Linked DNA regions of Rhinolophus ferrumequinum. The protein of the gene in region 4 interacts with the protein of the main gene of each other region in a pairwise test. Links are inferred from orthologs where the notes say so. Each region holds a gene or a part of one and is shown on either strand. Other genes may lie near its edges.

Region 1 (7,344 bases), on a different chromosome or scaffold from region 4:
TAACACAATCAGTGTAAGAAGTTCAGTGTTACCATAGTGATATAAACAGACTGGGTTAACATAAGAAAGGAGTAAAATTCCTGGGTTTATGGACCATCTCTCACCAACTTTAAGTGCGTCATTCTCTTAATACTATAAATACTCCCAAATGAAAAATACCTGAATATCTGGAGGTACTGTTAATTGCGTACTTGGACTCCTGGGATGAAAGAGCTAATAAAAACTTAATTTTCCTAAGGGGAGTATCACTGGCATGAAGGAAAAAATAAACGAAAGTTCCTTTCATTATATAGGTAGGCCTAAGCTTTTGCAAGCTGTCCAAGATTTGCTCTCTAAAAATGGACCTACTAGCACCTCCTAACTACACACAACTTCCACAGCAGGGCACCAGTTCGTGTGGGGCACTGAGGAGTCATCAAAGATGTATTTACATGAGCCTGACATAGAATGTACAATCAGACCTCTGTCTGATGGAGTTGCAGCCTCTTGAGAATCTGGAGCAGCAGCCAAAAGGGGAAGGGGGAGGATATGAGGATGCAGGAAGAAGAAAAATCCCAATCAGGACTCAGTTCCAATTAAGCTCTCCAAATGTCCTTTCTGCTGAGGGTGCTACACACATTTCTCAGAACTATATTTTACTGTCCTTTAGCAATCTTTTGGATTCAGGAACAGTGGTCTCCTCAGGGAATCACAAATGTGGGACAATATAATAAAGGCTGAAAAAAAGAAAATACAAATAACTAAGAAGATGAAAATTTATATCCATCACCTGTAATTTCAACATGTCCAAAAATCACTTCAAAATTAGTTCCTTTCCCAACCTCCATTTTTGGACAAAGTACTTCTCTTTTGCTTACCATCAGGCTCAAAAACTTGGAGTCATCCTAGAGTTCTCCCTTTCCTTCAAGCCCTATAACTAGTTAAGCCTCAAATTCCAGATTCTTCCTTTTCTCATTTCCATTCACTTATTCAGTTTTTTACTGCACATCTACTTATGCTAGTCTCTAGGAGACTCTGTTGGTAGGAATAGCAGAGTAGGATGTGGAGATACGTACAGAAATAGCTACTAAACAAGTCTGCTAATAAGTTTATGAGTGGTTGAGAAATAAATACCACACAGATTCTGAAGTGTGAGATGATGTCTGATTGAAGTAATCAAAAAACACTTGGAGGGCAGGCAGCGAGCCCTCAAACTGGGTCTTGAATCCTACATCTACCTTTGATTAGACAGAGCTAGGGAAGGAAACCATTCGGGGAATAGCAAATCAAGGTGGCTGCCTGGAACTAAAGGTCCAGGAGGGGAATAATGAGAGTAAAGGCTGGAGCTAGGTAGTGGCAGCTTTTGACTGCCAGGTCATTTCTCTTCCATCATTTGAACCTTTATATCTGATACTTTCATCAGGAACCCAGGTACAAAACAAAGTTGGTGGTAGCTGCCTCTGTGATAACAGGGTGTTCCTTCTGCATTTACAATTTGTAGGAGAGGCTACCACTGTAGTGGCTTAATAGACAGTGGTCCTTTCAGCACTAACAAAGCTTGACTTAGGATGGAGGATCCCATCTTATTCTAGGAATGCTTCAAAACCTGGTCAGCCTTCAACAACCCTAACTAGGGCTGTAATCTAAGATTGGGAATACCAATTTAATTCTTCTCAAATTTGCTTTCATTATGCGACTCCTTTGCTCAAGGATCTACAATGACTCCTATTAACTATAATAGATCATTCAAGTGCCTTTGCCTGGAATCCACGGCTATGCATAATGCAACCCCCCCCCCAAACCTTTTCAACCTTATGTTGCTACCCCTGTTACTTATCTGTTACTACCAACCTCCTTTCTTAGTCTGAAGGGTTAAATTACAACAGGGCTGGTGTTACAGTCTTAGCTGAGTTAAATTTAAATTAGACAACAGTTTAGGCCATTTTTTTCAGGTATAAAAACAAATTTTACAAGGACATTTATAAGAACTTGGCCATCCTTATTCACGTCGTCTTCTTAAGTGTGTTCTGCATTTTTCAAATGCAATTATTGTGTTCATGATATATAAATGTGAAAGAATAGTTACTAATAACACTGATATAGCCATGTTCTTTATCTTGGTAGGAGGTAGGTGTATACATTTTTCAAAATCAGTGACTATACACAGGATTTGTACAATTCATTGGATATGAATTTTACACCAAACTAAATTGTAAACAAATATACCTACCAAAGTATTTAGGGGGAAGTGTACTGACATCTGCAAATTAAACGTATGGATAGATATGTGATAAAGCAAGTTACATTAAATTGTTAATGGCAAAATCTAGGTGGTGGAGTACTCGTATGTATGTTTCTTATGAAATTCTTTAGACTTTGCTGTGTTTTAAAATGTTCATATAAAACACCAGGAAAAATGCCATTGAAAACACACTGTACTTGTTCATTATAATTGTAAGCACTAATAACACACTAAGCTTCATAAAGCTGTAAGCAGTTAAACTTAGTGGAATGGCAGCATCAGGCATTTGCTCCTTGATGCTTCATGCCACCTTGCACATACCTTTTATAGCCCTATTCATGGTGTAGTGTACTATCTGTTTGCATGGTTTTCTCTCCCACCCCACTACAGTGGCAGATACATATCTAGTCTAATTTGTATTTATGTTCCTATTGCTTTGCATCTGTTTAAAGAATAATATATATTCAATAATGGTGGAATTATTGAATAAATAATTGGATAAAAGTGTAATTGCTAAGGAGCAAAGTATTGTACTTCCTGCAGATTTACTTTATTCATTTCACATATTCTAAATAAAAATTAATATGTTAAATTTTCAAGAGAAATGCGTCCTTTACTTTTTCTCAAGACCGCAAAATTTTCAAAAATAGGCAAAACTCTTCTGTATTCATGAGATTTTGTATTCTCTTACGTAACACGAGGTCTGAAGGCCTCCTAATTATTCAATAACTTCTAATTTTTTTTCTAAAAGAGAATTCCAATGAAACCTGGAATTTGTTTCATTCAAATCTTATATAAGCTGTCAGAACTAAGAGATCCCTGAACCTGTCAAATGCAGGAAACTGGAGATCTGGGGAAAATATAAAAACAAACACCACATAAGTCATGAAGCAAATTAATCAAGAACTTTACTATTAAGAAACGGAGGGAAAGTCTTAAGGATACGTAGAACATCTCAAACTCCCCTCAGGCTGGCCTCTCTCCTCTCTCCAATTACAGCCCGTCAAAGATCAGGCCGCCCTGCCCCTCCCAACATGCCACGCGACTGGAGCCGATGCCTCTGAAGATGCTTCTTGTCCCGTTGACCTCCCAGGATCAAGTGCTTTCGCGACGTGATCACCAGATTCTGAACTGGAGGACCTGGGGCCGCGTCCCAGCTCCCCCACCTGCCTGATCTGCGAGCCTCTTGCCCTCGCTAGGCCGGATTCCCACCTGTGAAATGGTAATCACTCTCCTAACCCGTGCCGGCGCACAGGGTGGCTATAAACCAAGACGAGGGGCGTAAAGGCGTATTAAAGAAGATGCAAGTAACTGTTACGCCTCTTATGCACGCGGTACTCACAATCTGCCCGAGACCAATCTCTCAAGTCACCGCTGTCCCTCACTCCCTTCCCGCCCCACGTCTATTCTGAGGCCGCTCCCTCCCGTTGGCCCCCATGCGGAAGCCCCGCAGCGCCGTCTGCCGTACCTGCAGCCACTCGGTCAGCGGGGCCCTCCTGCTGACCCATGACGAAGTCGTGCACGAGGCCCCGCAGGGCGCCTGTGGGAGCCACCGCCTCCAGAGTGGCGGCGGCGGCCATGACGCGAACTAGAGACCGTGGGAGGGGAAGTGGGCGGTGGTACGGGACGGAACTCTCAGCGCATGCGCCTCCTGAGCCAATCGCCTGGCGGAAGCAGAAGGCGGGGCGCTCCCTGGATCACGTGCCTGCCGGCTCCAAGGCAGGCGGTTCTAGGGAGAAGTGGGATGGGTCCTCCCCCAAGGGGCGGGGCCTGGAGTGGCCATGGCGGCGCGGGGAGGGGAGGTGGCTGCTGGGCACGCAGCCGGGGGCCATTGAAGGAGAATAATTCCCGGCCCTGCTACCCGGGAGACGGGCGGCGGGGCGGGCCCCTAGTTGGGTGGGGTCGAGGGGCGGTACGCACCCTGGGGGAAGCCAATGAGAAAATCAGACCCGGCCCGAGGGGGCGGTGCCGTCGGTCACATGCGCACCTGGGGCGGGCGGTGGCGGCGGCGGCGGCGGCTGGGGCACTGCGAGCCCACGGCAAGGAGCTGGGCCGGGCTGGGGCGGGGTTAGGCAGGTGAGTGACAGACTCCGGGGGGCCGGCCCCAGCCCGGAGCCGCGAGCTAGCCGGGTGTAGCCGCGGCGGTGACCGCCCCCTCTCTCCGCCCCTCCAGCGGAGCTGGTCTTGGGCCGGGCACCGTCGCGGGCCCCCCTGGCCCGGCCACCTGGGACTGTACTAGGGAGTCGGCCACCTCCCTCTCTCCCCTCGCCGCAAAGTTTGTGGCGAAGCCGGCTTTGGGGCACAGCGCGCCCCCGGGGGCAGATCCAGCAGCGCCCGATGGCTGGCGGCAAGAGCCGTTGACCAGGGACGCCGCCGTCCGGGGCCGGAGCGCTGAGCAGCGGACCAGCCCGCCGCCTCCGGTGCATGGGGCCCGGCTGAGGAGCCAGCATGGGCAACTGCGTGGGGAGACAGCGCCGGGAGAGGCCGGCCGCCCCAGGACACCCCCGCAAGCGAGCAGGTAACGACGGGGAAGGGTACAGGGCCACGGGCGCCCCGCCAGTTGTCCCCTCCTTGCCCGAGCCTTGGGCTTCCCAGGCGACTTCCCATGGCTCCTGGCGCCGGGTTTCCCCGATGGCTTCCCCCGAGCCAGACTGGGGTCCCCTTCCCCAGCCCTGTCGCCAGGGGAGTCTAGTTGGGGCAACAGCGAGCGCTGACCCGGCTTTGAGCCCAACTCTCTCCAACTGGGAAGCTCCGGGTGGGGGTGGGGGTGGGGGCGGGGGCAGGAAATGTTTGCAAACCGCAGCGGGGCCGGCGGAGGGAAGGAGGGCCCGGGCCAGGGGCCCCACTGGCCGGGCAACCGGGCCGGGGTCCGACGCCGGCCCGTCGGGGCATGGCTCTGGCGGCCAGGCGTCCCCAGAACTCGGAGCGAGCGAGGCGAGAACAGTCGCTCTTTCCCAAGACTGTCTGTGTCATTATCGGGCTGCAGATCGTGTCTGCCGGAATCCGACTTGCAAAAGCACCGCAGGACTCTGGGAAAGAAATCTTTATTTTTCCCGCAGGGCTTTTTAGAGCCTCGCGTCCGTCTGGGAGTCTAGACAAGGTGGGGTGCGGGGTGGGAATAGCCCTCGGGTTTGTTGGGATCCTTGGGGTCCTTTCCAGCCACGGGAATGGGATTTCAACTGGTCATCCGCGAGGGCCAGGCAGCGCCTTCTCACTTTCTTGGTACACTCCTATCCTGGCTCTTCGCCCCGGGAAGAGGTCTGACGGTCGGTTCCCTGGGTCTTGTGCTCACTTCCTTCTCTGAGGTTGTTGCAGGGACCTTCTGAGAATTTTTAAAATCGTGATCTTTAGAGTTGAAAGGCACCTTCTAAACTTGTCTGGAGTCCAAATAGACCTACCTCCTCCTATCTGTGAAAATGCCCACATCCAGAGAGGTTGAGCAACTTGCCCAAACTCTTACAGCTAGTTAGTAGTACAGTTGGGGCTAGAACATAGTCTCCTCTTCCACTCAATTGCCACATATCCCTTTATGTAAGAGGAGCCACAGGCAGAGTTGTTAATGAAGTGGAAACTCTAGTTGGAGTTTCCTGTCTCCTTGGACACCGAAGGTGTGTTGGTTGATTTGCGGAAACTGGGAAAGAGGATGAGGGGAAACATGGGTGAAGCAGGGAAGGATGTCTGTGTTGTGGACAGGATGACTTGTGGAAGAAGATATGTGTTTTTGTAGAACAGGGTAAAATTTAACATTGAAATCCTCTTGGCAACCCTGGCCATTCTGACTGAGGAAAGTTGATTCTCAAACCCAAAGCCTTTCTTCCTTATTTCATTCATTTATTCAACAAATATTTATTATTTATGTGCTCAGTCCACATGATTGATTTTGTCGCATTTTTCACTGTCAGCCCTCTCCTCCTTGAAACTCTACCCCCTTCCCTTCGTGGTGTTTATTAGACTATCTTGGTTTTTTTTCTCAGCTCACTCCTATCCGCCATCACCTCCTAGGTGTGAGCACACCAGTGGTTCAATTTGACATTCCTTTTTTTTCTCTCATTACACTTCCTTCCAGAGAAATTTTAATCAGTCCCACAACTCTTTGTCCATTGGGGAGACACTTAAGCTGTATCTTCAACTATTCCTTCTCAGACTCCAGACTCGTGTCGTTGAATGCACACTGGACATTGCGATATAGTTATCCTCAGATTCAGCACTTCTAAAAACCAAGCTCTGCATCTCTCCCCCCTCAGGCAGCTTCCCTATGCTCTTCCATCCTTGCAGCTGCCTAACTTTGGACTTTGAAGACCTCTCTCTGCTGACTTTCTCTGCCTCCTGTGCTCTGCCTCCCAGCCGGTTAGTCATTGGGACCTGCTGGTGTTTCCTTCAGCAGGTGGTACAAACCTGCCCCTTCACATTCTACTTCACACGCTTGTCACCTCAAGTCCAACTCATCTCCCAGGTTGAAGTTAGTTCCCCATCAAAGGCAAAATCATCTTCAGTCATTCATCCAGTGCCTGCACACCATGGTCCCCCCAGAAGACGTTTTGTTTGTTAAATTAACCTGCTTCAAGCCCTATCGTTCTATGTTCAGAAAAAAATTTTGTACCTCCTCACTTATACAAAAACTTTAACTTTCAAGGTCGTTCAAATCTGGTCCAGTCCTTATTTTTAAGGCATGATTTCTTTCTCTTACCTGACAATAAAGGCCGCCAGTGTTTGCTCGTGCCATTTCCCCGTTTATCAAGACCCTTTCTAGCCTTCAAGGTCCATCTCAAATCTCATATCTTTCTAGAAGCACCTTGCCTGACAGTGCCACCCCCTCCCCTGTAGATCTGATTGCTTCTTCTGAGAACTCCTGCAGACACGTTATGCCACTTAACAATTATCTACTCCATATTATTAGTCATTTCTTTGATGTTTATAGTCTTACATCAGCAACTACATTGCAAGCCTTGAAGACCTGGCTTCTGTCTTATCCTTCCTTGTGTGTGTGTGCGCGCGCGCGTGCGTGCGCACGCATGCACGCCTGTCTCTCTTTTTCACTTATATAACCATGCACATGCACACTTGCACGCGTGCACACACACACACACACACACACAGCATTTAGCACAATGACTTGTACAGAG
Region 2 (7,984 bases), on a different chromosome or scaffold from region 4:
GTGAAATCCAAATTGACTTAAAAATTATATTGTTTTCTTCTCCATTTAGATGAAATATCCAGGATAGGTAAATCCATAGAAACAGAACGCAGGCTGGTGGGGGCCAGGAGCTGGGGGGGAGGGAGGATGGGGAGTGACTGCCAATGGGCACAGGGTTTCCTTCTGGGGTGACGAGAATGTTCTGGAACTAGATAGAAGTTATGGTTGCACAACATTGTGAATGTACTAAATGCCACTGAACTGTGTACTTAAAAAATGATTATGTTGATGTTGCATGGATCTCATCTCAATTAAAAAAGTTGTATTGGTTTTAAAATTTTTTTATGATTTTGTACATTTTTTAATATTGGGAAATAGTGTTTTTACTGAAGATTAATATACATGGAAAAGTGCAAAAATCATACAGCGCTCTGAAATTTCACAAACTCAACACACCTGTTTAACCAGCTCATCTAGGTGTTTTATTCTTTTTTTCTTTTTAGGTGTTTCGTTCTTTATAATAGAATTAATACAAGTTAGTTTAGGGAAAAAAAGAGAAAATACACATAGTTTTTAAAAAAGGAGGAAAAAGAAAATGCAGAAAGTAAACACATCCATAATCTTTCATCTGTAGGCAATCACCATGGACAATTTGGGCATATCCACCCAGACTACCTTCTAAAAATGTACAGGTATGATACTGTTCTGTAACATAATTTTTTTACCTATGCTTTGTAAATACTTTTCATGGTAATAAATACCTATGTTTATCGTGTGTGTGTGTGTGTGTCCTTGAAAAACCATTGTAATTACTATAACCAACCCTTACAACCAAAGAATTAGAAACAGCATCTGCAATGATCTATCTCACTTGAAATGACAGTTTCATGCTCTTTGATAATGATTTTCTTTGTTAAATTACTCTGACTTCATATTAATGTCCTATTTTTTTCAATTGCTTTCTCCCTTGCCCTGCGCTCTGCCCAGGCACTAAATATTGACAGTCTCACGTGGACAACCCCCACCTTCTTCGTCCTCTCGCAGTCATATAGAAGCATATATAGACACATATATGGGGGAGCTGATTTTGTTGTATAAAAATAGGATCATACGCCATGTGGGTCTCTGCATCTTAATTTCCACAGTGTCTAAATATTGGCGACTGTGCTGGATGGTCTATTTGCCCTTCCAATTCTCTTCCTCCCTGTCTCCCTCTATGCCCCAAGCTCCTTTGCCCTCAGCCAGCCAGAGGCTGGGGCAGGAGGTGAGAGGAGGGAGAGGACAGCTATTTCCTGCCATGCTCCCCCTCTGCCAGATGTTTGGGCAGCAGCTGTGTTTCTCTGCTGAAGATCACACTCCTGCTGGGTGGCCACACCTTCTCTAGGTTCCAAAGCTACTCCCTTCCTTTGACCTTGTAAGTCTGGGGGTGGGATCTGACCCTCAAGGTGGCCGTCCCAGGCGGTTTTATCATCCCTTTAAATGCTTCCTTAACTTTGCCCTGACTCTGTAAATAGCCTTTTCATTAAATGCCCCTTAAATGTTCTGAGTGTGCCAGCTGTTTTGTGATGAGGCCCTGAACCGATTCAGCAACTAATTTAAAATTCTTAAAAATTCTTAGCCAACTCACACAATCCTGCCACCAATTTGGACGTTGGTTTATAGATGCAGGAATGGAGGGTAATTGACTTGGCAGTCTGCCTGACTCCTAGGCCAGGGTGGAGGGGAAATACGGAAAATTTGCTGAGTCCTGAAGGCAGGCAATATGAATTCTGACCGACCAGGTCTTCCTAGGGTACCTCTAGTTTCCTGGCTCTATTTCCCAATTCTGTATCTCTTGGTTCTGAAATGGAAATGAGCACAAGATGGGCGTTTGGAAGAGGCAAACAATTTAAGTTCTCTGAAACCTTAAACAAAGACTTTCTAAAACAAAGGCTTTGCTGGCTATCTGCGCAGGTAAGATGAACCAGGACAACTGGAATGGGGAAATAGCCTGTTCCCTTAGACTCCTCTGGTAAACATTCACTCAGTCAAACATTTGAAGGTAAACAAGCCTCAACCAACATCCTTTGTCCTCAGTGCTTAGACACAGATAAACATACATGGATAATAACAGGTGGAAAGTGCTGTAAACAGCCTAGCTTTGGGGCGGGTTGGAGACTGATTCCCCAGGGGAGGTAATATGTGAGGTGGCTCTTGAAGGAGGAGCTGAAATCACTCTGGCCTGGGTCTGCCTGATGGCCCAGTTGGTTAGAGCCCGAGCTCTGGACAACAAGGTTGTGGGTTCTATTCCCTAATGGGATGACGGGCTGTGCCCCCAACAGCTTAAAGGTTGAAGACAGCTGCTGGACTTGGAACTGAGCTGCGCCCTCCACAACTAGATTGAAGGACAATTACTTGGAGCTGATGGGCCCTGGAGAAACACACTGTCCCCCAATATTACCCAAAAAAATTTAAAGGAAGAAAAAAGATATCACCCTGGCTTGACCTGACCTGAGATGGTGCCCTAGAGAAGGGATAAGCAGGTGCCAGACCCTGTGCCAAGAGAGACGGAGAAATACATGTACCAGAAAGTGTGGGTGGAAAATAAGTTGTCTATGTGTGGTGGAGGGTGTGTGTGGGTGGGTTCAAAAGGCAAGTAGGGTTAGAAGTGTCTTGAAAGACAAGAGAAGGGTGCTGGAAAGCCACCGAAAGCTTTTAAATAGCAGAGTGACAATGTCACACCTTGGGTAGGTTATTTTGGGTGCCATATGGAGAATGGATGAAAGGGGCAACCTAGAAGCTGAGACAAGTTCATAGGCCACTGCAATCAGGAAAAATATTGGGGTGGTAGGAGAGTAGAGGTGAAGGTGATGGATGAGAGCTATGAATGCAGGAGCAGAAACAGAATGTAGGTTTATGATAATCATAACAATATTGACAATAATAACATAATACAGTGATTTAAACAATAGGTGTGGTTTCAAGACTGCATAGGTGAGAATCTTCTCCCCTCCCTTTTACTTGGAAAAATGTCAAACCTCAGAAGAATTGCAAGATTGTTTCCATGAACATCCATATACCCTTCACCTAGGTTTACCTATTGTTACATTTTGCTTCTCTCTCTCTCTCTCTCTCTCTCTCTCTCTCTCTCTCTCTCTCTCTCTCTCTCTCTTTCTCTCTCTCTCTCTCTCTCCACCCTCTCTTTCTCTCCCTCTGTATGTAGCTTTTTTTCCTGAACCACTTGCAAATTGCAGAAATTATGACACTACACCTCTAAATACTTTAGCATTCATCTCCTTTGAATAAGGAGAGTCTCTTATATGATCACAATACCATTTTCTTACTGAGAGAATTTAATATTGATACACTATAATATAAAGTCCATATCAAATTTCATTAATTATCCCAATAATGTCTTTTAAATTGCTGCTTTTTAATGAAAAAAAATCTAATATCTAATCAAAGATTGTGCATTGTATTTAATTATCATGTGTCTCTCTCTTTTTCCTTTTTTTGGGGGTGGGGGTCAATGTTAGAAATGTTAGTTTATTTAAAAAACATAATTGAACAAAATATAGGAAGCCTAGTGTAATTGGTTCTACTTTTTTTCTTTATAAAGATGATTTTTGTAACTTTCTATTTAGAAATTATTTCAAACTCACAGGAAAGTTGCAAAGATGGTACAAAGAATGTTCACATATTGTTCACATAGGTTTCACCTAGAGTCAGCAATTATTTTCACTCTGCCACATTTGCCTCATCATTCTTTTGTCTACAAATATAAATTCGTATTTTTTATGAACCATTTGAAAATAAGTTGACTCTCTTTCCCCTAGATACTACAGGGTCCTTTTTCTAGGGACGTTGTCTTGTATAACCACAGTGTAAGCATCAAAATTAGGAAATGTAACATTGATACTATACCAGCTAATTCAAATTTCCCCAATTGTCCCAAGAATGTCTTTTTGTAGCTTTTATTATTTTTTTTTAGGGGACCCAGGATCCAAACAAGGAGCACACATTGCATTTCCCTGCATCTCTTCAATCTTTAATTTAGGCAATCACCTACCACGTGCATGTATTTCACAACACTGACCTTTTTGAAGAGTTCAAGCCAGTTGTTTTGAAGAATGTCCCTCAAATTAGGATTTGTTTTCCATCGTTGGATTCAGGGCAAACATGGCTGAATACTACATCAGTGATGTGTCCTTTTCAGTGCAAAATGTTAGGGGCGCATATTAAGATACTAAGTTTCATCGTTGGGTTTCAAGCGGGGTTGAAATTTGGGCTGCTTATTGAGCTGGTTGGGCAAGTTGGTTAGTGAGAGAGCTTTCTCAGCTGTCAAATGAGGGTCCTAATGTTGGTTTCAAGAACAGTGTCTCGCAGATTTTAAGTATTTGGTAAATTATCAGTATTACTGTTCTCATCAATATTATTTTTAACCAAAATTTATAGAGACTTTAATTATGTGACGGGACTGAGCCCAGCATTCAATTCTGTACCCCTCTAGCACCCAGGACAATGTGAGGCACAAAGGAAGCATTCAATAAATATTTGTTGGCAAAATGTCAGCTCTACGACATTGATTGCTATTGATATGGAACCAATTTACAGATGCGAAAACGGAGGCTCAGAGAAATGTAGTAATTTACCTAAGGTCACTACATTGCAGTAAGTAGATTTGAACTCAAGCTTGTAAAACGGGGGATTCGGAATCTGAATGTGTTTTGTAAACCCTCAGGGGCTCTGTCATGTGAAGAGCTGAGCTGGAGCGCCACGCACAGTGCTCTCGGACGGACATACGAGTACAGTCGGCATTCAATACGTAAATGTTAGTTGAATGAATGAGGAAAGAAAATGAGTCAGCTAAGGAGTGATCATCCGCCCTGGTCAGGGACAGCGCTTGGAGGGTACAGACAGGGAAGCCATTCCTCTGCATCCCGTCCCAGGTGGAGTCACCCCAGGACCACGTGTTCCGGCAGGGTGTGGCTTCCGGTGACACCGCCCCACCGACGGAGCCACGCCCCTCACGCCTCCCCGCGCTCGCGGCCGGCCGAGGTGTTTTGGCCCGCGGGCGGAGCCGTAGTCAGTCTCCCCCGCGTCTGCGACCGGGAAAGCGGGTGTTCAGAATCCCCGGTGGAGGTGCACGATGTCGGAGAAGGAAGAGAAGCCGAGCGCAGGCTTTCCGCAGGCCGGCGCGGTGACTGTCAGCGACATCCAGGAGCTGATACGGCGCAAGGAGGAAATCGAAGCGCAGATCAAGGCCAATTATGACGTTCTGGAGAGCGTGAGTGTGGGCGCCGGGTCCCCGGGCGGCGTGGGGGGCACCCCAAGGGCTCCGGACTCGGCCCCCCGACCCGGAAGGACTGGGAGGCCGGGGCGGCCTCCGCTTGAGCTCTCAGCTGTGGCTCTCGCCCTCCGTGGGAGGCCCTAGGCGCCGCACCTGCGACCTCTGTCGGCTGCGGGCAGTGAGGCAAATACCGTTGAAAACTAAGAACAACATTGGTATTCAAGCGAAAGTTTATGGAGCCCTTACTATGTGCTGGGCTCTGTTTTACGTGATTTTCATTGGTGAGCTCATTTAATCGTCGCAGCAACCCTTTGAGGTGAGCTCTATTATTTCCACCATTTTAGGGATGAAGAAACAGGCGTCACTTAACTTAGACCTGCCGCGCGTCACAGAGCTAACAAGTTTGCAGAGGCTGGGTGATTGATAGTCTCCACATCATCAGTCTTTGTTGAACCTTTACCTGATGGCCTGTGTTCTACTAAACACTTTATGTCAGAGCTTCGTAAACGTTAATGTGTATGTTAAAGTTTAGATTCTGATGGGGGGCGGGGCACGCGTGAACAGATGCTGTGTTTCTGGCGATGCTGACGCTACTGGTCGAAGGACTGAGCTTTGAGTGATAGGTAAGGCTCATTCGCCTTGATATATAAGGAGGAAACTGAAGCTCAGAGTGGGGCAGACCCCTGCCTAGGGTTTTGTAGCTATGAAGTGGCAGTAGTGGGGCTAGTTTCCAGGTCCGTCTGGCTCCCAAACGGATATTTTTTTTCAAGCCACCTAGTAGTGTAAAACCACAAATCAATTTGCAGAGAAGGGGTAAATTAGTTACATCTTATGTAAGGGCGGATGGAATGCATTTTAGGTGGTGGGAGTAAGATGAAGTATCAGATGGAGGCGAGGGTACCATTTTACTGAGTGCCTGACTCTGTGACTGAAGGGTGCTGGTTAATGAAGGGGAAGTCACTTGCTCAAAGTCACAAAGTGGGATATAGATCTCAGGCCTGCTGAATCCAGAACCGGTGCTTTCAAACATGCCAGCAGTTTTTTTTTAAAGTTTTATTGGGGAATATTGGGGAACAGTGTGTTTTTCCAGGACCCATCAGCTCCAAGTCAAGTCTTAGTTTTTTTTCAGTCTAGTTGTAGAGGGTGCAGCTCACTGGCCCATGTGGGAATCGAACCGGCAACCTTGCTGTTAGAAGCACTTCGTTCTAACCCACTGGGCCAATGGGCCGCCTCCCAGCAATTTCTTAAACTTCAGTTACTCTCTACCGTAAACAGGACGTTGTATCCATATACTTCCTGTACTGTTATTCCCTTTATGTTTTTCTTTAAATTCACTCACTTTTTTACTTAAATTTATTTGAAAAAGAAATTTTATAATTCTACAGCATGTGAAAAAATGAGACTCTTTTTCCTTTAAATGTAAGGTATAAAAATGCATAACAAAGTGATCCATCCAAATGTCCATCAACTGATGAATAGATAAATAAAATGTGGTCTGTCCATACAGTGGGATATTATTCAATAAAAAGGAATGAAGTGCTGACACGCTACAACATACATGAGCCTTGAAAACATGGTGCTATAGAGTTCATTACAAAAGACCACGTATTTTATGATTCCATTTATACGACATATTCAGAATATAGGCAAATCTGTAGGCAGAAAGTAGCGTAGTGGTTGCTGGGGCTGAGGGGAGCGGGGGAATCAGTGATTGCTAATGGATCCGGAGTTTCTTTTTGGACAGTGATGAAAATGGTCTAAAATAGATTGTGGTGATAGTTACGTAACTCTGTGAATATTCTAAAAGCTGTTGAATTATACACCTTAAATAGGTGGGTTGTATGGCATGTGAATTGTAACTCCATAAAGCTGTGAAAAACACAATGGAGAGGCCCAGAGATAGCAGTGATCTGTAGGTGATAGAAAGAACAGCACCAAATGGAGATTTTCTCCTTAATTATTGAAGGATTGAAGATAGTTGGTAAGGGAATAAATATTTTAGATTCAGGGTTATTTAATGCGCTGTGTGTGGGTCCCAACTTTTGAAAGTAGTGCCTTATGTGGTACTGATTCAGGAAGGCCAGTCAACTCTTAGTCATTGTGGGAAAGCAGGAGGCAGACACAGTTATGTAGCCCGTGACACCTTTGTGCGGTATCTGTAGAGTCCTGTGGTAAGGGAGTATATGGGACCCTCTCCCCTCCACCCCCCGCAGGCTTCTAGAGACAAAGGGAGATAAATGGAATCTCTCCGTCTAGTAACTGTGTACATTGGGCACTGTCTCTCTGTTGGCTAATAATTACAGCCATCATTTATTACTTTCTACGTATGTTCATTTCCTAGGGCCGCCATAACACATGGCCACAAGCTGTGGGGCTTAAAACAAGAGAAGTTTATTTTCTCATACTTCTGGAGGCGAAGTCGGAAATCAAGATGAAGGCAGGGTTGGTTCCTTCTGGAGGCTCTGACGGAGAATCCATTCCATGCCTCTCTCCTAGTTTCTGGTGGCTGCCGGCCATCCTTGGCTTGTAGCTGTATCACTCCAGTGTCTGCCTCATAGGGTCTTCCCGCTGTGTCTCTGTGTCCCAAATGCCCCTTTCCTTTTTCTCATAAGGACATCTGGCAATGGATTGAGGGCCCACCCTAAATCTAGGATGATCTTACCTTGAGGTCCTTAATTCCATCTGCAAAGACCTTATTTCCAAATAAGGTCACATTCACAGGTTCTGGGGGTTAGG
Region 3 (7,603 bases), on a different chromosome or scaffold from region 4:
TCCCACTTCTATTCCCTTCAGGGTTAAATGGGGGTAACAGCACCCCCGCACACATGCTGATATCTTCAGGTACTGATGAGACTCAGAGGTATCATTCCTCTTCTCACTCCCTCCCCAGTAAGAGTCTTAACCCTTATTGTCTACAACAGCGACCGTTGCCTTTGAGCACATACTGTGTGCCAGGCAGCGCCCAATTCCTCATGGCAACACCCCCTGTGAGGGAGGTCTTAAGATCCCCTTTCCCACGTCCTAGAGGATCACCGAAGCTCAGAAAGCGGCAGGCCCTGGGTAAACGTGTTATAAAGATCCGGTTTAATCTCACCTCCACCCTGGGAAATAAGCACTGTGATGACCCTAGGGGACGATGGCTTCTGCATCTGCTTAGCAGGGAATGAGCGGGCTTTGAATGTCCCAGCAGAGAAGTCCTTCCTCCTGCCCTGGTCTGCCTCACCGGCCTCGCCGCCTTCTTCCCTCAGGACCCTCTCCTGGCCCCAGCAGTTGGGGGCCTGTGCTAAGCCGTAAAGCCTTCTCCGGAGCCAAGGCTCTCAGTCCATGGCCTCACCCCTCCCGCCCCGCTCAGACACGCACGCAGCCTCTCTCCTTACTCCAAGTCCTCCGGGGCCTGCCTCCTGCCCATTCCGACCCCTCTCGCCAGCCCTCCCCAACGCGGAGAACCTCGTGGCGAAGACAAAAGGAGTCACGTAGACTTGCCCTAGCCCCATGTGACACTGACATTTGGAATATGCCTCTCTCCAAGACACCTCAACCAGCCCCTTCCTGGCTCCACTGGGCAGCCACAGGGATCCCTGTAAAACCTGAGCCAGCACTTATCACAACTCTGTACCAAGTCTTCCCACTGGCATAACAGAATCCTAAAGCCACCCGTGGCCCTGGGCCCGGCGCAACCTGCCCGTCTCCCCGGTTCACTCCTCTGTCTACATTGCTCTCCCAGCTGTTGCTCACACAGGCTCAGCTGGGTCCTGCCACGGGGCCTTTGCACTTCTGGTGCCTTCTGCCCCAACGTTCTGCCTGGGAATGGGGTGAGGAAAGGGAGGAAGGCAGGTCTGGGAGGGGGTAAAACTGCTTCCTGCCAGCACACGTGAGGGAGGAAGAGGGAGAGAAAGAGAGTGGGAGCGGGAAAGGGGTTGTTTTCCACATGGCTGAGTCTCACCTCCTCCAGCTCTTAGCTCAAATGTCGCCTTCTCCAGGAGGCATTCCTGGACCATCTATGGGTCCCCTCATCACTCACTATCCCATGCCTTTTTTTTTTTATGGCCCCAGGCACCACGTGATCTTTCATCACATGTGTATTGATTTATTTGTCCATCTTCCCCCACTAGAAGACCAGCCCTGAGAGAAAGGGGATTTTATCTCACTCATGCTGAAGTGGTGCTTGACACACACCCTCCTGCCCACCTTGAGTCTCCCATCTTGCTCCTGACGTGTCACAGAAGCCTGGGTCTCCACCCTACTGCCTTGCCCTCTCCTCCCAGGCCTCCACTATGGCACAACCATCACCCCCACCTCCTTTTTGTCACACAGTGCCAGCTGCCCCAGCCCCCACCTCCACCCACCACTTATGGAACAAATGAATGGACCCCCTTGTCTGATCCATCGCTCCCCCTGGACCCCTCTTAAGCTGCCCTCCTCTCCCTCCTCAGGCTCCCAGGACACGGTTTTCTCCACTCTGCTTCCCTCCCTTACAAACAGGGGTGGTCCTCACAGGCCTCCTTCGTCCCGCTCAGCACTCCCCTCCCAAGAACCCCCAATCCTCGTGACAGAGGCCCTGAGGTCCTTGCCCTGCACCCACTCGCCCTCACCCACCACCCCTTCCTGCCTCTCCTCCTACCCTCTCCCTCCCAGCCCCTACCTCTTCACAATTCCTTCCATTGTTCCTCACAGGCCCCTGCCCAGGCTGCCATCTTTCCGCAGCCTCTCCTCTTCCTAGGACCACTTCCTCAGTCCCCACAGCCCCCTCTGCAGCCCCTTTGCTCGTCCCACCACCCAGCGGAGCTTTCTTCCCAGCCCACCAGCCCTGACGTTTGGCATCCTCCCTGCTCCCGGTCTTCACTGCCCCCCTGCAGCTCTGGCCCTCCACACACCTCTCTCCACTACATTTCCAGTCTTGCCCCCGGGCCTTTCCTTCTCCAAGTCCTCCCCAGACAACCCACGGAGGCCCAAGGGCACCCTCTTCCTACTCTCCCTTTCACTCAACCACACCCACAAGGCCCCCACCACAGCCCCTGCTCCTCGCCCCACCCCCCGCCTCCATTCTCCTCCCAGACCTTCCTCAGCCCCTCGCAGCACCACCACCCCATTCACCCAGACCTCCCAAATCCCTGCTGACCCTTCCCAACAATGCCTCAGGCTCCCTGGCCTTCCAGACTCTTCATCTATTCCTCCCGCACTCTCCAGAACCAGGGCCCAGACCCCGATCACCACGGACGCTCAGCCTCTCGCCTCTTTGCTTCTCCGGGCTCAGCCCCCAATTCCCATCACTTTGAGTCTCCCAAATCTATAAGCCTCTCCGGGGCATCTCCTTCGCCCCCGAGCCTCTCCCTTGACCCCGCGGTTCCGCTGCCCCTGCCCCGCCCCCTCGGGCCTCACCGTCCCGCCCCGAACCCGGAGGCTTCCCCTCCCTTCTTACTCCCACCGCTGCCCCCACGCCCCGCCCCCCGAGGTCTCTCCCCACCCCCCGAACCTCGGCCTCCCCGGCCCGCCCCTCGCCTTCTCAGGCATCCCTTGTCCATCCCCGCCCCCGGCCTCATGCCCAGCGCCCGTCACGCACCCCACCGACTCCGTGAGCTTCTGTCCAGGCCCCGCGCCCTTAAACTTGATGTCAGCTTTGATTTCCTCAAAGAATTTCTTCATGGTGGCGGCGGGCCCGGCGGCAGGGGGCCGCGGGGGGCGAGGGGCTGAGGGCCCAAGGGCCCAGTCAGGGAGGGGTCGGCAGGAGCCAACAACCGGAAAAAAAATACGGCGCCACCAGAAGTCCCGCCTTCGCACGTCCGCCCACGTGACAATCGGCCCGGCGCGCCTTTCTAGCTCTCTGCGCCTCGCTGGCCCTCGGCGACCGCTCTGTACTCTCGGGCCGCGTCTCGGTGGTTCTTCCGGACTCCGTTGCCAGGGGCGACGTGCGCGCTTCTAACTGGTGGTTGAGCTTGGACGCCTTCCACCGCTTTCCGTGAGGGGTGACAAGAGAGGGAGGGCTAGGCCATCTGACCTCACGGGGAGAGCTCTGGCCCTGCTCGCAAACCATCCCTGGCTCCCCAGCCCTTACGTGATAAAGTGCCAATTAAATTGTGGGCGTTCAAGGCCCCCACAACCCAGCCCCGTGGTCAGCCCCAGTTTCCCGCCACCCCCCCAACCTTTCTGAGCTTCAGTTTCCTATCTGTGAAGTGGGGATAAGAATAGCACCCGCTCCCTAGGAGGATTGTGAGCACGATGAAACCATCGGAAGGCTCAGTAAATGGCACACGTTATAATATGTTACTCCTTTTAATATTTCTTGAGAGTCGGATCTGTACCAGCAGTGAGGAAATCAAGACAACAATTCCCTGCCCTCGTAGAGCTCATGAGTTTTTTGATGAGGTTGGGGAGGGACAGACTATGAGAAATAAAATCTGGTAGGGTAGATGGTGTTAGGCTCTATGAGGAAAATAAAGTGGAAAACAAGAATAGGGGAGGGCAGAGTGTGGGCAGTTTGCATCATCAAATAAGAGGATCAGGCACAGAAAAAGGACATTTTTTAGACCAGCAGGGACATTTGAATGTGTCTAGGCATTAAATGATATAGAAGAGCTATTGTTAATTTTGTTAAGGGTGATAATGGCATGGTAGTTAAGTTTAAATAGGTTAAGTTAGGTCTTTTTTCGGAGATGCATTCTGAGGTATTTATGGGTGAAATTACATCTGAGATGTGCTTTAAAATACTCCAGCAAAAGAAAAAAATTATACACACGTACACACACACACACACACACACACACACACACACTTTAGGAAGAATTCTCCTGGTTGTGTTTCCTCCATGCAGTAGAGTGTGAGAGCAGTCATTCCCCAATCATTTACTGAGCATCTACTATGTGTCAGGTCAGTGGAGTCATAGCAGGGAACAAGACAGGCAGGCTTCTGCTTCTGAGGGGCTCACAGTGATACAGCTATTAAACAAGGAAATCGTGCCAGGTCGTCGTGATCACTTCTATGAAGAAAAATACAGTAGGAGAAAGGAATCGAGTGATGCGCGTTCTTTTAGATAGGCTAGTAAGGTCTGACATTTTAATAGAGACTTCTCAAGGAGACAAGGGACCAAACCACGGGGATAGCTGGGAGAAGAGTGTTCCAGGCAGAGGAAATAGCAAAGGGAAGGATCCTGAAGTGTTTGCTTATTCACCAAACATGGTGCCAGGAGCAGGGTGAGGGAAGAGAGAAGATTCTCAGCTAAGAGCAAGTAATGTGTGGTCTGATCATCCCCTGTATGGAATATTCTATAACCATCAGGAAGTGTGATCATGAGAATTAAAAAGTAGCAAGGGAAAAATCCTTGAGAAGATGTGTTAGTAATTAATTACTATATAACATATTATCCCCAAATTTAGCAGCTTACAATAACAAACATCTCATAATTTCTGTGCATCAGGACTCAGGAGTGGCTTAGCTGAGTGATTCTGGCTCAAGGCTCACTGGGGTCCACCGTGGAGGCTGTCTACCACACGACAGCATTGAGCAAAAATGCAATAGATGACATTGTCTGCCCACCCTGTTTACAGGATGGAAACATACTGCTTGTTCTTGTTCATGTTCTTGCACTGAAGCTGTTGGCTGGGGCTAAGGACTCACCTGAAGTCTTGACAAGGAGGGTCTACGTCAAAGCTCGCTCAAATGGTTGTTGGCAGGCTCCAGTTCCTTACTGACTCTTGTCTAGAGTCCTGAGGTACTTTCTATATGAACCTTTCTACAGACTGCTTGAGTGTCCTACTACATGGCAGCTGGATTCCACCAGAGAGAGAGAGGGAGAGAGAGAGAGAGAAGTGCCCAAGAAGGAAGTTGCAGTCTTTTTTTTTATGACCTAATATTAAACTTGCTATACCATCACGTCTGCCATTTTTATTAGTAACACAGACCATCCGTGGTACAATGTGGGAGCTGACTTCACAGTCATGTGAATACCGGGAGGCTGAGCTCACTGGGGTCCACCGTGGAGGCTGTCTACCACACGACAGCATTGAGCAAAAATGCAATAGATGACATTGTCTGCCCACCCTGTTTACAGGATAGAAACATACCAGTACGGAAAAACATGGCAAAGAAGGGAAAAAGTCTAACATTGGTTATTTGGATTGGGGAGATCATAAGGGATTTTTCTTCCTTTTTTCTTAGTTTCCAAATTTTATGTAATGGAGCATTATGACTTTTACAATAGAAAATAATACTTAAAAATACAGGGTGATTGAATTAAACCTCTAGGCCTAACTTACAGGAACAAGGGGTAGAGAAACAAATGGAACAAACCATCATGTAACACATTCTTTAAGCCAACTGGCCTGGTCGCTCCAAAAAGTCAATGATGTGGGGTGGCCAGATGGCTCAGTTAGAGTGTGAGCTCTGACCAACGGGGATGCCAGTTCGATTCCCACATGGGCCAGTGAGCTGTGCCCTCAACAACTAGATTGAAGACAATGAACTGCCACTGAGCTGCCACTGAGCTGCTGGAGGGGTGGCCGAATGGTTCACCTGGTGAGAGCGTGAGCTCTTAACAACAAGGTTGCCGGTTCAATTCCCGCATGGGATGGTGGTCTGCGTCCCCTGCAAGTAAGATTGAAAACGGCAGCTGGACTTGGAGCTGAGCTGCACCCTCCACAACTAGACTGAAGGACAAGTTGGAGCTGATGGGCCCTGGAGAAACACACTGTTCCCCAATAAAAAAGTTTTAAAAGGCAGGAAAAGGGGGCCATTAAAGGTATTACAATATTAAGCTTTAAAAAAAAAAAGTCAATGCTGTGAAAAATAAAAGATTCTAAATAAAAAGGAATAAAGAAACATAATCTTTAATGCAGGGCATGAATCTTGATGTGGTCCTGGTTAAAAAAAAAAAGCTGAAAAAACTTCTTAGAATAATGAAGACAATTGAAAATGAATTGGATATTAAACAGTATCGTGGAATAAATATGCATTTTCTTTGGTGCCATAAAAGTATCTTGCTTATTTAATGAAAGGTCCTTATTCTTAGGAAATGCTGAAGTATTTAGGGGTGAAGTGTCATGATGTATGAAACTTTCAAATGTTTAAAAACAGATATATATACAGTTGACCCTTGAACAAAATGGGTCTGAACTGTATAGGTCCACTTTTAAAAAAATAAATACTGTAAATGTCTGAACTGTATAGGTCCACATTTTAAAAAAATAAATACTGTAAATGTATTTTCTCTTCCTTGTGGTTTTCTTAATAACCTTTTCTTTTCTCTAGCTCACTTTATTGTAAGAATACAGTCTATAATACACATAACAAACAAAATATGTGTTCATCGACTCTTTATGGCTTCCAGTCAACAGGAGAGTATTAGTAGTTAAGTTTTGGGGGGAGTCAAAATTATACACAGATTTTCAACCTTGTGCAGAAGGTTGGTGCCCCAAGCCCCCCCCATTGTTCAAGGGTCAATTGTACATATATTTACATACACATTATGTTATGAATTATGAATATTATATATATTCAAATATATATATGTTATATTTGAATATATATATTCACATACACACACATATGAAACATAGATGGAAAAATGTTAACAATCATTGAACATAGGTGTATGGTTGTAGTGGTTTTAAAATATGTCTATAAATTCTTTGACACTCCTCCTTTCAAAGGTGAAATCTAATTCCCCTCCCCTTGAGTGTGGGCTGGACTTAGTGACTTGCTTTTAACAAATGGAAAAGGACGGAAATAATAGTCTATAGCTTTGAGACTACTGGTAGATATGAAAGGCACAGCGGCTCTTCCTGAGTTTCTCTTTGTGGCTCTTCCTGGGGTCACTCACTGTGGGGAAGCCAGCCACCATGTTGTGAAGATGCTCAAGCAGCACTGTAGAGAGGTCCGCGTGGTGAGGAGCTGAGGCCTCCTGCCAACAGCCATGTGAGGGAACCACCTTGGAAGGGGCTCTTTCAGCCCCACTTGAGCTCTCATGATGAGGCAGCCCTGGCTGGTATCTTGATTACAGTCTCATGAGAGACCCTGAGCTGGAACTCCCTAGATTCCTGACCCTCAGAATTTGCATGAGATAATAAATGTTTGTTATTTCAGTGATTAAGTTCTGGGGTAATTTGTTATACAACAATAGCTAACTCACAGAAGGACACACCATGTTCATTGTGTTACTGTGTTCATCTTTTTTTCTTTCTTTTTATATTTTTTTTAAGGAGGGCACAGCTCACAGTGGCCCATGTGGGGATCGAACCAGCAACCTTGGTGTTATTAGCATCACACTCTAACTAACTGAACTAACTGGCCACCCCTGTGTTCATCTTTTTTAAATGTTTGACATACTGAAAATTACAATTTAGCACTGTGAAATAAAGGATCATATGCCTTATAATCTCAAATA
Region 4 (7,880 bases):
CAACAAAAAAACAAACAACCCAATTGAAAAATGGGCAGACAACCCGAAGAGACATTTCTCCAAAGAGGACAAATGGCAAATAGACATGAAAAAATGCTCAACATCACTAATCATCAGAGAAATGCAAATAAAAACCACAATGAGACATCACCGCACCCCAGTCAGAATGGCTATCATCAAAAAGACAAATAGTAACAAGTGTTGGAGAGGCTGTGGAGAAAAAGGAAGCCTCATACACTGTTGGTGGGAATGCAGACTGGTGCAGCCGCTATGGAGGGCAGTGCAGAGGTTCCTCCAAAAATTATGAATAGAATTACCATATGACCCAGCAATCCCTCTCCTGAGTATCTACCCAAAAAATCCAAAAACATTTATCCATGAAGACAGACACGTGTGCTCCAATGTTTTATTGCAGCTTTATTTATGGTGAACAAGACATGGAACCAACCAAAACGTCCTTCGATAGATGAATGGATAAAGAAGTTGTGATATACATACACAATGGAATACTATTTGACAGTTAGAAAAGATGAAATAGGACCATTTGTGACAACATGGATGGATCTTGAGATTTTAATGCTGAGCGAAATAAGTCAGACAGAAAAAGCAGAGAACCATATGATTTCACTGATATGTGGTATATAAACCAAAAAGAACAAAAGAACAAGACAAACAAATGAGAAACACTCATAGACAGACAATAGTTTAGTGGTTACCAGAGGGTAAGGGGGGCTGGGGGAGGTTGGTAGATGAGGGTAAAAGGGATCAAATATATGGTGATGGAAGGAGAACTGACTCTGGGTGGTGAACACACAATGGGATTTATAGATGATGTAATACAGAACTGTACACCTGAAATCTATGTAACTTTACTAACAATTGTCACCCCAATAAACTTTAAATAAAAACAAAAGAAAACCAATATGGCAATACCCATTAAGATTATAACTCCACAATGTTTCTACCCAGGAACCCTTCTCACAATAATAAATGCACTACACATAAGGGCATATGTTCAGAGAATCTTTATTGTAACACCATTTATGCAGCAGGGAAAAAAAGGGGAAAAAAACCTAAGTAAATGCCCGCCTGCTGAGAAAGTGCTGAAAAATGTATGGTGAAAAGGAGTAAACTGCAGGTATCCTTAACTGTGCTGGCTTTGCTGTTCTCTGAGTGTTCCTGGGAATGGCAAATTCAAATTTTGATAGCAGCGAAAAGGATTACTTTAAGGTTGAATTAGAGGAAGAAAGTGTGATTCTCACATTGGTTCCAGTTAGTGAGGAAACTAATGAAGAACGTGAAATGGAACCAAGCATTTCTTCAATCTCAGAAGACAACCTGAAGATTCCTAGGACAGATGATGAAGTTTATCTTCCTCAAACGAGTGAACAGTTCAAAGCTTGTCCAAAACCAATGCTCCCCTTGCCGACCATTTTGCCTTCAATTAATAAAGTGCGTTGGGACACTTTGCGGAACTGGTGCCAACAATTTAATTTGAGTACTGATGGCAAGAAAATAGACGTTTATCTGAGGCTCAAGGAACATGCATACTCTGAAGAAAAACAAAACATTCCTGAAATACTACAGGAGTCAAGTTCAAAGAAATGCAAGATGGTGACCAAGAAAGCAAGGAGTAAGAAAAGTTGTAAGATGAGTGAGAGAGAGCAAATGACCAACAGCGTTGAAGTGATAACTTCAGCTCAGGAAGCCATGTTGGCAGCATGGGCAAGACTTGCTGCAAGAGCCGTTCAACCTAAGGCTATGAATTCATGTCCCATTCCTGCTTCTGCTGAGAACTTTCTGCTGCAAACGTCTGGTGTCAGGTGGTGTGTGGTCCACGGCAGACCTCTCTTGGCAGACAGAGAGGGTTGGGTTCACCTGCAGTTCTATGCAGGTCAGGCGTGGGTGCCTGACCCTCCCAAGAAGATGATCTCTCTCTTCCTGTTGCCGGCCTGCACTTTCCCATACCCAGACCTAGAAGATAATATGTTATGCCCCGATTGTGTTAAGAGGAATAAGAGGATGATGGAAAGATTAACTACAATGAAGAAGTAGAAGCAACCTGGTTTGAACACAATCATATCATTCCTTTTGGATTGGCCATGTCTTAATAAAGAATAAACGGTGGATAGATAGCTCACAGATACATTGATTTGTATCCCAGTGATTGCTGTGCCCTGTCCTGGCCATCCTCAGTGTTGCCTGATGCCTGGAGTACAGATGTGAATGTCTGGATTCTGTACTTCAGGTCTGCCAAAAAGTGACTGCCCCTGCTGCTTCAGGTATTTAGCTATAACATATAGAATATAAGTTGGTTTTCTTTTAATTAATAGATTTTTTTAAGCAGTTTTAAATTTTCAGAAAAAATTGAGCAGAAACTAGAGTTCCCAAATTCTGTTCCCTGCACTCCCCCATTTTCCCTACTGTCGACATCCTGCACCAGAGGGGTACATTTATTGAACGTACATTGACACTTCATTATCCCCGAAAGCCCATAGTTTACATTAGGGTCCACTCTTTATGTTTTACATTCTATGGGTTTTGAGAAATGTATAATGACATATCCACCATTATAGTGTCATACAAAATAGCTTCACTGCCCTAAAAATTATGTGCTCCACCTATTTAACCCCTGACACATTTTCTGTATCCATAGCTTTGCCTTTTCCAGAATGTCATACAGTTGGAATCATACAGTTGCCTTTTCACATTGACTTCTTTCAGAGCAAAGTAAATTTAGGATTCCTTCATATCTTTTCATGGCTCGATAGCTCACTTTTTTTTGTTTTGTTTTAAATTAAAGTTTATTGGGGTGACAATTGTTGGTAAAGTTACATAGGTTTCAGGTGTACAATTCTGTAATACATAATCTATATATCACTTTGTGTGTTCACCCAGTGTCAGTCAGTTCTCTTTTCGTCACCATATATTTGATCCCTTAGCCCACTTTTTTTCCTTTTTTTTTAGCAGTGAATACTCCATTGTCTGGATGTACCATAAGTTGTTTATCCATTCACATATTGAAAGCCATCTCGGTTGCTTCCAAGTTTTGGCAATTATGAATAAAGCTGCTATAAACAAAAAAAAAAAAAAACAAAAAAAAAATGTATGGTATCTGCAGAACAAGACCTGTTATGCAATCATTAAAAATGTTAAATGACGGAGCAGCAGGGTGGCTCAGTTAGTTGGAACATGGGCTCTGAACAGCAATCGGTTCGATTCCCACGTGGGCCAGTGGGCTGTACCTTCCACAGCAAGGTTGAGGGACGTCCACTTGGAGCTGATGGGCCCTGGGAAAACACACTGTCCCCCAATAAGATCTTTTTAAAAAGTAATTGCGGTGTAAAGGGTTAAAATAATTGCAAAAACCGCAATTACTTTCAAAAAAAAAAAGTTAAATGAAAAATATTACTAAATTTTTTTTACACCTGAAAATGTAAGCACTGGCTCCATAGTAGGGAAACAGACTATCTCATCATATGCTGGTGTGGACATACAACCTTATTAGACTTTTAAATTTTTATGCCTTTTGACCCAACAGCCCAACTTCTAGGAATCTGTCCTACTAATAAATGGTATGACCATCTAAAGATACATGTGCAAATATATTAAATCACCTTGCACACCTTAAAGTAATACAATGTTGTATGTCAATTATATCTCAATAAAACTGGGGGGAAACATATATGTGCAAGGATGTTCACTACAGCTTTTATTTAATAAGACTTGGGAAGAACCTAAATGTGTACTCAAAATAAAATGGCTGAATAAATTATATGTCTACACAATGACTAACACAGACTTGAAAAAGAATGAGGTAGTTTTATGTAACTGAAAAAGATAGAAGATAGTCAGTATAAAGTATAAAAAGCAAACTGAAGATTGTCTATTCTTGAAATTTTTCATAATTAAAAAGTGGAAAAAAAAAGGTGGGGGAAAATTCGATGCCTTGCGTTTTTCTGGGTAAGAGTCTCAGAAGTCTGGATAGTTGAACCCTCTTCATCCCCAAGCCACCATACGTGACTTTGACCAGTTTTCTACCTGTACTGCTAATATACCCATTTCTTCTACATGACTCAGTAATTTTAAGCTAGTTGCTTCTGTTCTCCCTTCCTGATATAAAAACATTAAAGTGTGTATTTCTAACTTTTCGTCTCATTAAAAATGTTATCTCATTATTATACTTCATTTTTGCATGGTCCTGTGTTGGAAATCCCTTGGTACAAATCAACATTACAACTGATGACTCTCTCTCCAAAACAAAGCTAAAGAGGCTGACTATCCAGTTAGTGGCTTTCAAATTACCCTACCTTAGAATTGAGACGTTTTGTGAACTAGAACAAGTACTGTTGCTAAAATCCCTAATGGCCAAATAGCAATGAGGGAAAAGTTAATAAATGTGATTTTCTCAAGTTTAATCCTCTTCAATCATTGGCAACCTTAAAAAGAAAAGTGAACAAAAAGGAAACCAGTAAAGAAAAAGTAAACTAATTGTACTTAACATGTGTGATCAAAATCTTTATAACGCGCACTTTTTAATATTTTCTGCAAGTAAATAGTTTCTGGCTCCTAGGATGAGGTTAAATGCTGCACAGTGTAAATAACATCACAATTTACACAGGAACAAGTTGGGTCACTGGCCATTTCCCTCGGCGGGGTACACCAAAACTTGCTCCTTCCTCTCTTTCAGTAAGCATTCTGCATGCCAAACGTCGGGGGAGAGCCGGCGGGGCAAGCTGCCTACTCTACCCACCTTGGACTAACTCCTCCCCGCCCCCTTTACACCTTTACCCAGCACCTACTCCTGCCCAGCCCCAACTTTTCCCCTGCCCCATCACCCCTCTACTCATCGCTAGCTCCTCCCCAGTCTCATCACACCTCTTTCAGCAGAGGCTTCCTCTGCTTCATCGCTGCAAAACCACCTGCTGCGAAGCTTCCAACATCAGGAGAGGAAAACAGGGGACTATATTGCAAAAATCTGTAGTCTCCATACAAGCACCATCTGCTCTCGCGAAGAAACTCAAGTCACAGCCCCAAAGAGGAAAGAGCGCGCCTGGGCTCGCACATAGTTAACGGGCGTTTCGGGCGCGCTCGCGGCCGGGCCCAAGCAAGGAGCTGAGTATACAAAGGTGAGCAGTAGAGTCGCGGTACCAGCTCAATCGGGACTCCCAGTCCAGCGGGGGAGGTGATCATTTCTTTAAAGCTCGCATAGTAGAGGTAGGGCGAGGAGCACTTAAAGCCCACGGCTGGGAGAATGTACTTAATCCCTGAACCGTAAAGGGCTAACTCTAAACTAGTCGGAAGTGACGTGCCTGCTGAGACCCGCAGGTCCACCACGTAACTGGCCGCGCCTCACCTAGCCACCTTCTCCCCGGAATGGCCTGCAGAGGATAAGTGTAACTGAAAGTCCGCCGCCCGCCCTCGCCCCGCCCCCGTCGGCTCCCGGCGCCACCCGGGGTCAGCCGAGCCCAGCCAGAGTCCGAGCCGCTGCCGGGCCCGGAGAGCCTCGCCTGCCCGCGCCCGTCGGCGCCCTGCGGGCAATGGGCTTCAGAGCTCAGCCACGCGCATGCGCGGCCCTCTCTCCAGCGGATTCCTCAGGTCACCTGGACGACAACGTTTCAGCCACCTGCCCCTCCAGGTCCCTTCTCGCCCTTGACTCCTCCTGCAGATTCTCACCACCGGCCTCCCGCCTTCTTCCGCAGGCACCGCCAGGCCCTCCCGCGGCCACCCGCCGATACCACGGCTTCCACTGACACGAGCCTCTCGGCGCCGTTTCCGCTTCCGGCGAGTATTGTGTGTCGCGCTGCGGGGCGGGGGCGGGGGGAGGAGGAAAGAGGGAGGCAGTGCTCCGGCGGCTCCGCGCCCCGCACTACCGGACCCGAAGCCGGGAAGGTAGGTGCTGTCCCGCCGCCGCGCCCGGGCCCCGGGGCCTGCCCCGCCGGCCGGTTCCGCACGCCGCGTCCCAGCGCCCCGCGACTGCGTCACCAGCCCCCCGCACGTAACCACCGCTGCCTCCTCCCGCCTCGGGCCCGGGCGGACGTTTTGCCGCCCCGGCGACGTCAGCGCGTCCGGCGTTGCTTGGCTACCCCGCCGTTTCCCCGTCCCGCTGCCGCTCGCCTCCCCCGGTGAAACTCTGACGCGGTCGCCGCGGGTCTCGGCTGCGTCATAGCAGCGGGCATCCCACCTTCACGTCACACTCCTCCCGACCTGGACACTCATCCCTCCTTCCCTGCCAACCTCTCCCTCCTCTCCAGTACCCCTGCGCCAGATCTGACGGGAGAAGGAGCCGGGGGTGGGACCGAGTTGTGGACCACGCTCAGGAGAGGGTCGCAAGGTGGGACCCCGGACAGTGGTAGAAACAAAATGAGGACGTCCCTGAAGTTTGCCCTTCTACAGAGACACGAGGAACAGAGGGAAAGAAATGACCAATCCAGAGGCGCCCGAGGCCTCACTATGGCTGTAGCTCCAAGCCCTCTCCATACTCTCCTGACCTTTTCCCCATTTCTTTCACACCACTTCTTTGCCAGTCAGATCCCTCCTGGTCCCTAACTGCGTACAATTCAACTCACCCCAGGTGAGGAGGACACCTAATTCCTAGAATATTGGGGTAAGGGCAGGATCACTACTCACAGTTGGAGTTCCATAGGTGGAGAAAAATCATCTAACTGAATGGTCTCCTGGTTCAGGAAAGAAATTGAGGTCCAAATTAGTTACTACTCCAAGTTAACACATTTCACGTGTGCCATCAATATATACAGGAATAATCATTGTTAACCCAACTCATTATAGGGGCACATAGACCCTCTCTCAGCACATAGACATACTAAATTTCTTTCCTTCTGTTGGGACCCTTGGAGGGGAGGGAGGGTGGAAGGTGGGGTGATAGGGATAGAGAAACCAACCATTTCATAGATTAAAATGGTGACATTTTAAGGATGGAGTAGGGGACCAGTCTTCTGCTTTTATAAATGCTTTATGCATTTCCAACTCTTTTGAGGCTTCACTTGGAGATTTTGATTGCCTTCTTTACTTTTCATTCCCAACCACTCCAAAACCTATAGTTGGAGGCACAGTATGTCCAAGGAATTAGTTATCGATAGCTATTTCATAAGACTCCAGTCCCTGCAGGATATTTAAAATAGATTTTTTCATCCCTCTTTTCAAGAAGTTCTCAGCCTGGACTCAGTAACACACTCTTTAGTATAGTTGCCATGAGTTTATCACTTTTCGGAAGTTCCAAATGTACAATTGCACACAAATAGAATAGGATGTTGTGTGAATCATTTCATTCCAAGAGGAGGGCACACTTCCTCTACACTAGTCTGATAAAAGGAAGAAGAATTTCAATCTTTCCTGAAAAGAAGGTTGTTAGCCTTGCCTAACTAATTCCATTTATTACTGTTTGAAAGAGAGAGAGAATAGTGGCAGAGAATCAAGCTTGGGCTCCAATGGACTATTGTAATAAAACTCTTCTGTAACATTAAACTTTAAAATATACCTAATTTAAGAGATCTTAATACTTTGACTTTAATGGCATTTTGCACTTTCGCAAACTCCTTTCTCATCTATTAGAAAAATATGTCACACTAGGGATAAATTGGTCTGGCATTATTGGTTTTAAGATAGAAGTGGTATGAGCCTGGATCAGGAGAAGTATACTGAGCTAGAGTTGAAAGAAGCCTCCATTTCTAACAAGAGAAAGCAGAGGTGAAAAACAGAAGAGATTGGCAGTTGTGTGTCAGTTTGCTGAAGATGAAAAAAAATTAGATCGATAGCTGGGAGTCAAAAGTTTTGAAAATGGAGAAACAAAAGAGAGGTTGAATCTGGTGCAAGAGAAGATGTGAAATACCAAAATGGGGCTAAATGTGGAGTTAGGATTT

What was found.
Region 1: the proteins of TRIM39 (region 4) and UBTD1 interact in binary tests that used the Homo sapiens proteins (3 or more experiments, as listed by UniProt). The two-hybrid records come from large-scale screens. The link is inferred for Rhinolophus ferrumequinum from reciprocal best matches to the Homo sapiens genes TRIM39 and UBTD1.
Region 2: the proteins of TRIM39 (region 4) and PSMD9 interact in binary tests that used the Homo sapiens proteins (3 or more experiments, as listed by UniProt). The two-hybrid records come from large-scale screens. The link is inferred for Rhinolophus ferrumequinum from reciprocal best matches to the Homo sapiens genes TRIM39 and PSMD9.
Region 3: the proteins of TRIM39 (region 4) and UBXN6 interact in binary tests that used the Homo sapiens proteins (3 or more experiments, as listed by UniProt). The link is inferred for Rhinolophus ferrumequinum from reciprocal best matches to the Homo sapiens genes TRIM39 and UBXN6.

Annotation. Positions count from the first base shown.
Region 1 is NC_046299.1:26,307,682-26,315,025, reverse strand, and holds the start of UBTD1 (ubiquitin domain-containing protein 1), read left to right. Parts: upstream 1-4,326; 5' UTR 4,327-4,669; coding exon 4,670-4,739; intron 4,740-7,344. UniProt on the Homo sapiens protein: May be involved in the regulation of cellular senescence through a positive feedback loop with TP53. Is a TP53 downstream target gene that increases the stability of TP53 protein by promoting the ubiquitination and degradation of MDM2.
Region 2 is NC_046308.1:5,407,212-5,415,195, reverse strand, and holds the start of PSMD9 (26S proteasome non-ATPase regulatory subunit 9), read left to right. Parts: upstream 1-4,984; 5' UTR 4,985-5,107; coding exon 5,108-5,245; intron 5,246-7,984. UniProt on the Homo sapiens protein: Acts as a chaperone during the assembly of the 26S proteasome, specifically of the base subcomplex of the PA700/19S regulatory complex (RC).
Region 3 is NC_046301.1:59,267,310-59,274,912, reverse strand, and holds the start of UBXN6 (UBX domain-containing protein 6), read right to left. Parts: upstream 3,011-7,603; 5' UTR 2,872-3,010; coding exon 2,789-2,871; intron 457-2,788; exon of another isoform or gene 323-456; intron 1-322. UniProt on the Homo sapiens protein: May negatively regulate the ATPase activity of VCP, an ATP-driven segregase that associates with different cofactors to control a wide variety of cellular processes.
Region 4 is NC_046286.1:1,119,093-1,126,972, forward strand, and holds the start of TRIM39 (E3 ubiquitin-protein ligase TRIM39), read left to right. Parts: upstream 1-4,878; 5' UTR 4,879-5,598; exon of another isoform or gene 5,599-5,702; 5' UTR 5,703-5,784; exon of another isoform or gene 5,785-5,892; intron 5,893-7,880. Other genes in the region: developmental pluripotency-associated protein 2-like, read left to right, coding at 1,186-2,055.